Oryctolagus cuniculus: one gene and its partner. The protein of the gene in region 1 purifies or fractionates together with the protein of each later gene. This does not show direct contact. Links are inferred from orthologs where the notes say so. Each region holds a gene or a part of one and is shown in the gene's direction. Other genes may lie near its edges. The genes, in order: NIPSNAP2 and HADHA.

Region 1 (4,562 bases):
AACCTCACATGCATGCTGTAATGTATCATTTTTATTTATTCTTTTCCTGAAAATCTCAATGTAAAAACAGTGCACCAGGAAGCCCTGTGTTTACTCGGTGGCTTTGAGTAGTACCCTAAGCCTAAGCCACACACCTGTGGAATGAATACTCCTCCCCCATCCCAACTGCCAACAGAAAGCAATGGATTCGTGGAACTCCAGAGCCAAACGACAGTGGAGAAGGAAAATTCAGAATAAATGGCCTGATGGTAACACAAAAGCAAGACCAGCAAAGAAATGTCTAGCCACCAAAGTTACCTTTCAGGGGAATGGACTTGAAAGCATTCGAGACAAGCTCATGAGACAGAGCTTGGGAAGTTAGGGCAACGTGTGAGATACTCTCCAAGCACTCGTCCACACTTGAGCCGTGATTCGCAGGCCTGGGACAAGTCCTTTCCATCCCAGGCTGCGCTCACTTCTTCTGCCCGCCTCTTGGGTCTCAACAGCCTCACTAAACCTAGGTCCACAGCCTCTGTCTCACTTTCTCACTGGCATCCTAGGGACAGGTGCTTCTCCCCAGGCTGGGGCAAGTCCTTGCTGTAGCTTCCTCTGTAGCATCCATCCGTGTGCTCCCCGGTGGTGCCTTGTCCCAGTCAAAAGACTCTAGAGCTGGGCCTCTGAGATGACCAGCCTCACAGAAGCCGCGAGCTCGGGAGCCTTTTGCTGCCATCTCCGTTCCCCCATGCAGAGACCTCCCAGCAGCCCAGCCCTGAGACCCTTTCCCTCGCCCCTGCAACCCCTCAGTGGCGTGGCCGCCTCCATATACCCCCCTTGGCGGCGGGGACCCGCGCTCCTCCCAAGTCTCCTCTGTAGGCCTTGCTAGGCTGTCCCCACCTTGTCTCACGGCTTTCGCTTTGAAAATGGTTCCCTCTACAGCGCCTCAGGGCTTCAGTGGTTCCTTCCCCCAAGGATCGCCCTGCCCTCCGTCCCACCGGTCCAGCCTTTGGGACCCAGCTGGCAGGCCAGTTCTTGGGAAACAGCGTCCACTTCGCCCAACCTGCACTGGTGACCTGTCCCCCCGGGTGCTGCCTGTTCTCCCCGCCCCCGACCGTGACAGGTTGAGGTCGGCGCCCTCTGGGTGCTGAAACGAACTGTCCCGGGGCCACGGCAGAATTTGGGTGCATGTCCACCCAGAATGCTTCTGTTACAATATAACCTTTAGTAGCAAGGTGGTTAATAAAAAAAAAAAAAAAAAAAAAAAACGAGCTTCGAGGACACGCCCCTCCGCCACTTCTTGGATCCCCTTCGCAACAGCGGTGCTGTTTTTCCGTGCTCTTTCCACTCGTTTGCAAGCCATGCCCAGTCCTGGACGCCGAGGGCCTTGTCTCGCAACTTTTCTCCTGCTTCGCGCTCCGAGCGCCGGGGACTCAGCCGCCGCGGCCGCACCCAGCTCCCCCTGGCGGCCGCGCCCCGCGCTGCAGTGGCCGCGCGCCCCGCCCCGCCCCGGCCCGGTCGGGCCCGGCCGGGGGAGGGGTCCCGGCGGCGGTGGCGGCGGCGGCGTCAGCGGCGGCGCCCGGGCGGTGGGAGCCGAGGCGCCGGAGCAAGATGGCGGCTCGAGTGCTGCGCGCCCGCGGAGCGGCCTCGGCCACAGGCCTCCTGCAGCAGGCGGCCCCGCGTAGCCTCCTACCCAGGCTCCGGTGAGCTGCGCCGCCCTTTCCGGGAGCGGCCGGGGAGGGGCCGCCACGGGGCAGAGGGCACGGGGTCCTCGGCGCGGTGTCCGCCCCGGTCCGGCCGCGCAGGGCTGCCCGGGGGCAGAGGGGCAGTGGGAGCAGAGGTCGCGGGAGGCGGGGCCCGGACACACTGGAGCCTCGGCGGGGTCGGGGCGCCTTTACCCTGCCCACCGGGCTCAAGGTCACGGCGGGGACGGGCCGGGGCGCGCGGCTCCGCCCTCGCCGCGGGGAAGGCGCCCGCTGCGCGCCACGCCGGCCCGGCCTGTGGGACTTTGACCGGGGGCCGGAGGCAGAGCACGCGCCCGAGGCCGCGGGGCCTGGACGCGCCGTGCCCGGCTTCCCGCCCAGAGCCCGGGTGTCTGCGAAGGGCGTGCTGACGCCGGCCGCTCCCTGGTCCCCCGGGAGCCCTCGGTGACGTGGTGGGGGGACTGGGTGAGAAAGTATTACAGTGACCAGCGCGAAGTGTTGAGGCCTTTCGTTTTTTCCTCCCTAACCTCATTGGATTAACTGTTTGGTCATCTGAATCTGTCACTGACATTTCCACCTTAAGTAACCAGAGCCCATCCTAACGCACCTGTAGATTTTGCTTTTTTTTTTTCCTTAACAGGGTTAGTTTGGAAGTTAAGAGATGGGACCTCTGAGAAGGTGAAGCGTACCAATGGGGAAAGGTGTTTTTGAACCCTGGTCTAGCCATCTTGGGGCCCAGCGCCCGTGCCTGCAGGGATGTCCAATTTATCCAGGTTGTCCAGGTTATGAAGGGACTTCTGGAGAGTTCTTAGAGAATTTAACATTATCTCTTTCAAAATTTACTTACTTATTTTAAAAGAGAGAGAAAGATCTTCCATCCACTGGTTCACTCCTGAGATGGCTCCTCCAATCAGGCCTGGACCAGGCCAAGGCCAGGAGCTTCATTTGGGTCTCGCATGTGAGTGGCAGGGGCCCGGGTATTTGGGCCACTTTCCACCACTTGTCCCAGGCCATTGGCAGAGAGCTGGATGGGAAGTGGAGCAGCTTCGGGACACAGACTGGCACCCAAGTGGGATGCTGGCGGGGCACGCAGTGGCTTTATCCACTACGCCACAACACAGGCTCTAGCACTATCTTTAAATTCCATTTTCCACAAACTTTTGGAAACCCTGCCCCACCCCACCCCCATACTTAAATTTGTATTCAGGTTTATTAACGAATCAACTTTCTTTTATTTTTTATAGTTATTTGTCATCTGTGTTTTTTTTTTTCCCCACACAGCAATATGAGCCTACCAAATTTGTATTTTGTTCCTTCCCAAAGAGATGGCAAACACTGAAAATATTTACTCAGCGTGTTTGCCCAAGTTACCCAAGGTCACAAAGTTAGTAAACGAGCTTTGGACTAGGTCTGCCTAGTATCCCCACTTCTCACTGGGGCCAAACGCTGTTGACACCGGAGTCCTCATCTCTGTCTCACTTGCTGGGTCCTTCTGCACTCTGTCTACTTCCCTTCCTGGCCTCCAGTCTGACTTAGGGGTAGCCATTGTCTAACTCACTAATTCTGCCAAATACCGCATGTGCAGAACGCACTGGGAGCCCTGCAAAACTGGGCATACCAGCCAGGGTGTCTGTCCTCGGGGACCCAGGAAAGGAGGTGGGGAACAGGACCAGAAAATTTCACATCTTGTGGGAGACCCTGAGAGCCGTGGATGGCCTTTGAAAGCATGAACTGCAGCACCACATTGTCCGATCCGCGTGTTTAAAAGATCTGTTTGGCTCTGGGGAGGGAACAGAATCAAGGGTAATCGCCAAGTTAGCAAATGCTAGTTCTGTTTACTAAGAGTTGTTCGTTCCTTAAATATGAGCGCCTGTTGCACTGTTGGCTGTTAGGAAATGTCAGTAAATAAGATAAGCTAGCAAGGCCACCCAGCAGCTAGCTAGCTAGTTCAGGGAGGAGAGAGGCAGGAGGGACTCAGATCAGCTTAGAACCTGGGAAAGCGTTGAGATAGCCAGGCCTGCTATTCAAGTGGAAGTAGGCAGTTGGCCACTTGACTCTTTGAAGGAGATGTCTGGACTGCAGGTAACATTTGAGAGTGGACAGTGTATAGGAATGCTGAATTGTTGGTTGATGAGTTTCATTAAGACTGTTTGGTAATCGGTTGAAGGAGTGGATGAGATTGCTTAAAGAGCGTGTGGACAGAGGAGGGGCTGAGAAAGAAGCCTTGGGATATGCCAGTGTTTACAGGCTGGGTACGGGAGCGGGAGCCAGCAAGGGAGACTGGGAAGAGCAGGCTGCAAGGTCATTGTTCTGTGTGTTTCAAGGAGAGAGGGGTCAGCCGCGCCAGGTGCTGCTGAAAGGCTGAGGTGACAGCGTGACAGGAGGAAACTGCCCTTGCTGACAGGGTGTTGTGGGTGACCTTGCCAGGGCAGTGCTTTCTGGAAAGGAGGAGGAAGTCTTCCTGGGCGGCTCAGCCCTGCCCGCACATTTGCCAGCTTATCTCCCTTAGCTCTGCTCAGCACCAGGCCCAGAGTTCCCAGCTGCCTACTGGACACTTGTCCCACAGGCACTCAAAATGCATATGTAACTAAGAGAATACCTGGAAGGCTGTGTATTGAGGATGGATGCTTGTTCACAGCCATTGTCTCTTCCATTGAGGAACAGTCTGTTTGGTTTTGTTTGATTTTGTTCTGTTTTCTTTCTCTTCATACTATTTGCTGAACTTGTTTACTCAGAGTAGGGTTAACTATAAGGTCACTAAGTATACTGGTAATAGATCATTGTAAAAATTAAGAATGGGAATCCAAGGTGAGGGGGAGAAGGTTTGGAATGTGAGCGGGTGGGAGAAGTTCCATGTTCCTAAATCTGTATATGTAAAATATATGA
Region 2 (4,557 bases), on another chromosome or scaffold:
TGAGCCGCGGCACTGGCCAAATAAAATAAATCTTAAAAAGAAAAAGACCCTTCTTACAATTTACTCAGAAGTGGTTATCCAATTTCTGTTTAAAAGGCTAGGCTCACAGAGCTGGAGAACTCATTTCAAATAAAGATTTATTTTATTTGAATAGCAGCATTACAGAGAGTGGGCGGGGGTGGGGGGGAGGAATGAATCTATCTTCCTTCTGGCTCACTCCCTAAATGGCCACTACACCCAGGCTGGGCCATGCCAAAGCCAGCAAAGCCAGGAGCCCCATCAGGGTCTCCCCGTGGGTGCAGGGGCCCAAGCACTTGAGCTACCTCCTGCTGCCTTCCCAGCCCCATTAGCAGGAAGGTGGAGAGCCAGGACTCAAACTCGAGCCCAAATGGGACCTCAGGCGGCACCTGCTGTGCCACAACGCCGGCCGAGGGCTCACGATCTGACTTCATCTTAAGTTCCCTGCCCTTTCCCACCGCAGAAGCCTCCTTTCGGCGGGGTTCAGCTTCATATCCGAATCCTGGCAATCTGAATCCCGGCTCTGCCAAGAACCAAAAAATTTACATTCTCTCTCCGCGCCTCCCAAACTTCGTTTAGAAAAATGCAAAGGATAACAATGATTTTGGGATCGTGAGAACTAAACAAAATGGTGTCAAGGTGCCCTACAGGAGGCCACTAGTGTCACCTGCTTTTGAGGCCCATTCCCTTTAGAACACGATTCCAAGTCTCCTTTCCAGCAACAAAATAGCTGTCCCGCGATGCAGAGCTCTCGGGAAGAAGTTAAGACTGGGGCCCTGGTCTCACTTCTACCACCTGTGGCCAGAGAGTCACTCTGATCCGCTGGATTCAGTTCCTTCACCGATAAAGTGAGGGAGAGAATGACCAGAGGATCGCCGGGCCCCTCCTGGGTTAGAAAACCCCCGGAGCAACGGATCACCACGCAGGACCAAGGGCTGAGTCAGTTCCTTCCACCCTCATCCCAGCCCTTCCCCGAAATCGGGTGAAGCTGGCGAGCAAGGCACGCACCCCAACACGGCCCGGGCTTGAGGTCCCCACACACGCAAACAGCTCGTCGACTTGCGGTGGTAAATGAAGACGCGGGTGACAGGCTCAGAGCCAACCCAGACCCCTGCCCGATCTGCAGCTGGTGCCGTCTTCCTCCCTCCTCCTCCGAGCTCCCTTCAGCTCGCTCGACCGCGACTCTCCCGGGGGCGAGAGGCGGGCGCGGGCCGGGAGCTCGCCTGCGGGAAACGCTCTAAGCATAGCCGAGCACACGCCGCCGCTCACCTCAGTCGGTGTCGACGCGGATTCTCGCTCCGGGCAAGGTTCGGATCCAAGTACCAAGACTGTGCAGGACCCCGGGGCGGGTCCTGCCTAGAAAGGCCCCCTCGTCCCCGCCCGCGGGTCCGGCAGGCCTCACAGGCTGCCCGCTGCCCGCCTGACTGGAAAAACTCGACCCTCCGCCCCCTCCTCCCTGGGCCCCTGTTCTCCCGCGGAGAAAGCGTTCTTCCGACCCCGTTACCCGGGAACGAAGCGTAGGGTTACGGGGCCGGCGGCAGCCCGGCCTCTGATTTTTAGTCAGGCAGTTCTTCGGCCGCCTTGGCGTCCCTGCCACGGGAAGAAAAGTCCTCTGCCGCTCCGCCCCGGCTAGAAGCGCTTTCCACTTTTCGTCCTCTTAGCTCAAGATGGTGGCCTCCCGGGCAATTGGCAGCCTGAGCCGCTTCTCTGGCCTCAGGATCCTCCGCTCCCGAGGTGAGCCCTCTTTGAGGGTGCCCCCGAACGCAGGGTGGAATTCCGGGGTCTGGGGCGGCCCCGTGCCGCGGCTGCCTGGTGTTCCTTCGGGCCCGCAGTCGCCGGGGGCCCAGCCTTCGTCGGGGGGGATACTGCCCTGGGACCCCGTTTGCTGTGTCCTTGCGGAGGGGCTGTCTCTCCTGCCTCCCGTGTCGGTCCTGCGGGCTTGTCAGGCTCTGCAGCCCCTGGGTTTCTGAGTCCTCTTCACCCGGCCCGGCGCCTTTTCCGCAGGGCTCGCGGGCTGCACTTGCGGGCTCACGCCCCTCTTGCTTGCGTTGGTGTTGGTCTTAGACCAGGTGCGACTAGACTGGGAGCTCCAGGAGCACCCGGACCCAGGCTGTGGCGTCTTTGTGCCCCCACGGGCAACTTGCTTCCTGCTTGGATGTCTTTAATACCAGCCTAGGAGATCGCGGCCGCTCCCCTAATCTTTACATCACAGCCATTTTTTAAAAAAAATTATTTCTACGTTTCAGTAGGGAGCATAACTCTTGCAGTTCTAGTACTTACAGTGTTGATAGAGAGTATGTTGAATTTGAGGCTCTGAACTTACTGGAAGGGACATTTTTAAGGTATGCAAATAGCTAGAGTTCTTAAGGAATAAAATGTTAAGTCGTGTAAAGAACTGGCTCTAGTCTTGTTTGTGACTGTTCCCGGCTAGCCTATATTAACAATATTGTCCTTTTCTCCTCGGGCTGGTATTAAAACGATTAAAGTGGGTGGTTGTCTAAAACCTAGCCTTTTCCTTCCACCCCAAGTCTGTAAGGTCAGGCGTAACTTTTTATTGCGTGTTGTATGTTATGTCAGTTACTCAATTAGACATTTTTACTTTTAGCTTAATTTGTAATATGAATTCCTTTCCTTACTCCTGAACCAAGGGGGAGCATGCTTTTATTATTATTATTTTCTTAAAGACAGGTAGCTGGAGTCTTCCCTTGCTGAAAGGGATTCGTCGAATGCGTGAATCTTGTTCTACTCATGTTTTTAGTCTCCGCAGGACTGTCATGTGTTATTCCAATCGTAGCATAAACCTATTGCAGAAAACTGAAACGCACTGAAGATCAGGGAGGGGTTGAGAACGTGGGATCTTCCAGCGTCTGTGCCTGCCTTAGCCTTAGGCTGTGTTTCCTTGCAGGTTTCCTACCCCGTTTTCCACATTCATGCTTCATGCTTTTGGAGGGGGGGTCGTGTCATTGACTGTGCCCCTGCGTTGGCTGTAAGGTGTTTCTATGGACTGGCAGCTTGTGAAATGCTGAAATGATAGGTCATGTGGGGTCTAGTCACTAAGAAGCCGTGTGACTTTGGACACGCACCCTGATGTAGACGGGATCTGTGCCCGTTTGCAGAATGAATAATTGAGACTAAATGTCTCTGGCATGAGAAGTAGCGTGACATAGCAATCAATGGCATTCGACTGGGAGTCTGACTTCTGGTTTTGAATCTAGTTCTGCCTTTCACCCTCTGGTGACCTTGGGCAGTTCATCTGTCTGTGTTGTCATCTTAAAATGGAGAATAGTGCCACCTCCTGAACTCTACCTGAGTTATTCTAATTCTGAAGCAATTTTCCATAGAATAAGTACTCAGTAAATATAAGCTATTATTAACTCCCGCCTCAGAGAACCATGATTATGTATATATGAGAGATTTTTGGAGCACATTTTTCCATTTTGAACGTGTAATAAAAAGCTATCAGCTTAATTTTTCTGTTTTCTGTATAAACACATATGCATGCACATAAATGGTGTTTTCCCCAGTTAAAAAATGTAGCTTGTTATTGGTAAGGCCTCTCTTAATAGCAATTAAAAATGTCTTGAAAATGAATTTAAAATTACCTGCACACCTGGATTCACATTTCGACACAACGGATTCATACTTTACCTTGTAGGTCTGTGTCATGACATTGCCCAACATTTAATAGATGTATGACATTTATTGGTGGGTGATTAAATTATCTGAAAATTGACTTGTGATTCTTGAAATTTTAAAGCGTTCCCACTGTACAAGTGTACTGTTCTAAATAAGACTATTGTGACTATCAAATGAAAATTTCGTCTTGACCAAGATACCTTATCGGATTCCCATCCCTACCCTAAAGCCAAACTCCTAATTATGTTAAGTGGTAAAATAGTTTCACAGGAAATGAATTAGAGGCAAATACCTTAGATACTTTAGTCGATGGTATCTCATTTTTAAATTTGGCTTTCACTAACTTAATCCCATCCCTTCTTGAATTTTGAGAAAAGCTGTTGATTGTGAATGACCAAAGTGACATTTTCAAATTTGAAATTGGTGTCAGCATAACCCAGCTCTGCACTGCCTGTAGTCTTAGGAGATCTTAGAGGATTTTTTTTTTTTTTTTTTTTTTTTTTTTTAGTTACATCACAGCAATGATTAAAAAGTAGGCCAAAGGTTTCTTTCTCCTTGGCTGGCCCAGTAGATGTAGGCCAGAGTTCACACAGCTGCTGTGGAGTCAGCTTTGCTGTTTGGTTGAAGGTTAAGTATAGATGGCCAAAGCCAAGCTTCCGTGTTATCTAATTGTGGTTTGGAGTTCTTTTCTGAACATGTTTGTGTATTTACTGAGTCTCTCCTCTCTCCCCTCCTCTTGTTTCTATTGATTTAGAAGAAGTTATATGTGGGGGTGTGTGCAGCAAGGGTATGTTAGGGGGAAAGAGTTAAAATGGCTTAAACTGTAGGCTGATGAGCACCAACCTGTTGTCTCAAATATGTGATCCTTACCTTGCAGCTCATGAGCATTCTGGTTTCTCTTCA

What was found.
Region 2: the proteins of NIPSNAP2 (region 1) and HADHA purify together in Homo sapiens (affinity purification with mass spectrometry; 3 studies listed by BioGRID and IntAct, with this or other methods). This does not show direct contact. The link is inferred for Oryctolagus cuniculus from reciprocal best matches to the Homo sapiens genes NIPSNAP2 and HADHA.

What each region holds. Positions count from the first base shown.
Region 1 is NC_091450.1:65,784,034-65,788,595, forward strand, and holds the start of NIPSNAP2 (protein NipSnap homolog 2), read left to right. Parts: upstream 1-1,507; 5' UTR 1,508-1,584; coding exon 1,585-1,676; intron 1,677-1,684; exon of another isoform or gene 1,685-3,758; intron 3,759-4,562. UniProt on the Homo sapiens protein: Protein involved in mitophagy by facilitating recruitment of the autophagy machinery required for clearance of damaged mitochondria.
Region 2 is NC_091433.1:176,564,056-176,568,612, forward strand, and holds the start of HADHA (trifunctional enzyme subunit alpha, mitochondrial), read left to right. Parts: upstream 1-1,613; 5' UTR 1,614-1,685; coding exon 1,686-1,752; intron 1,753-4,557. UniProt on the Homo sapiens protein: Mitochondrial trifunctional enzyme catalyzes the last three of the four reactions of the mitochondrial beta-oxidation pathway.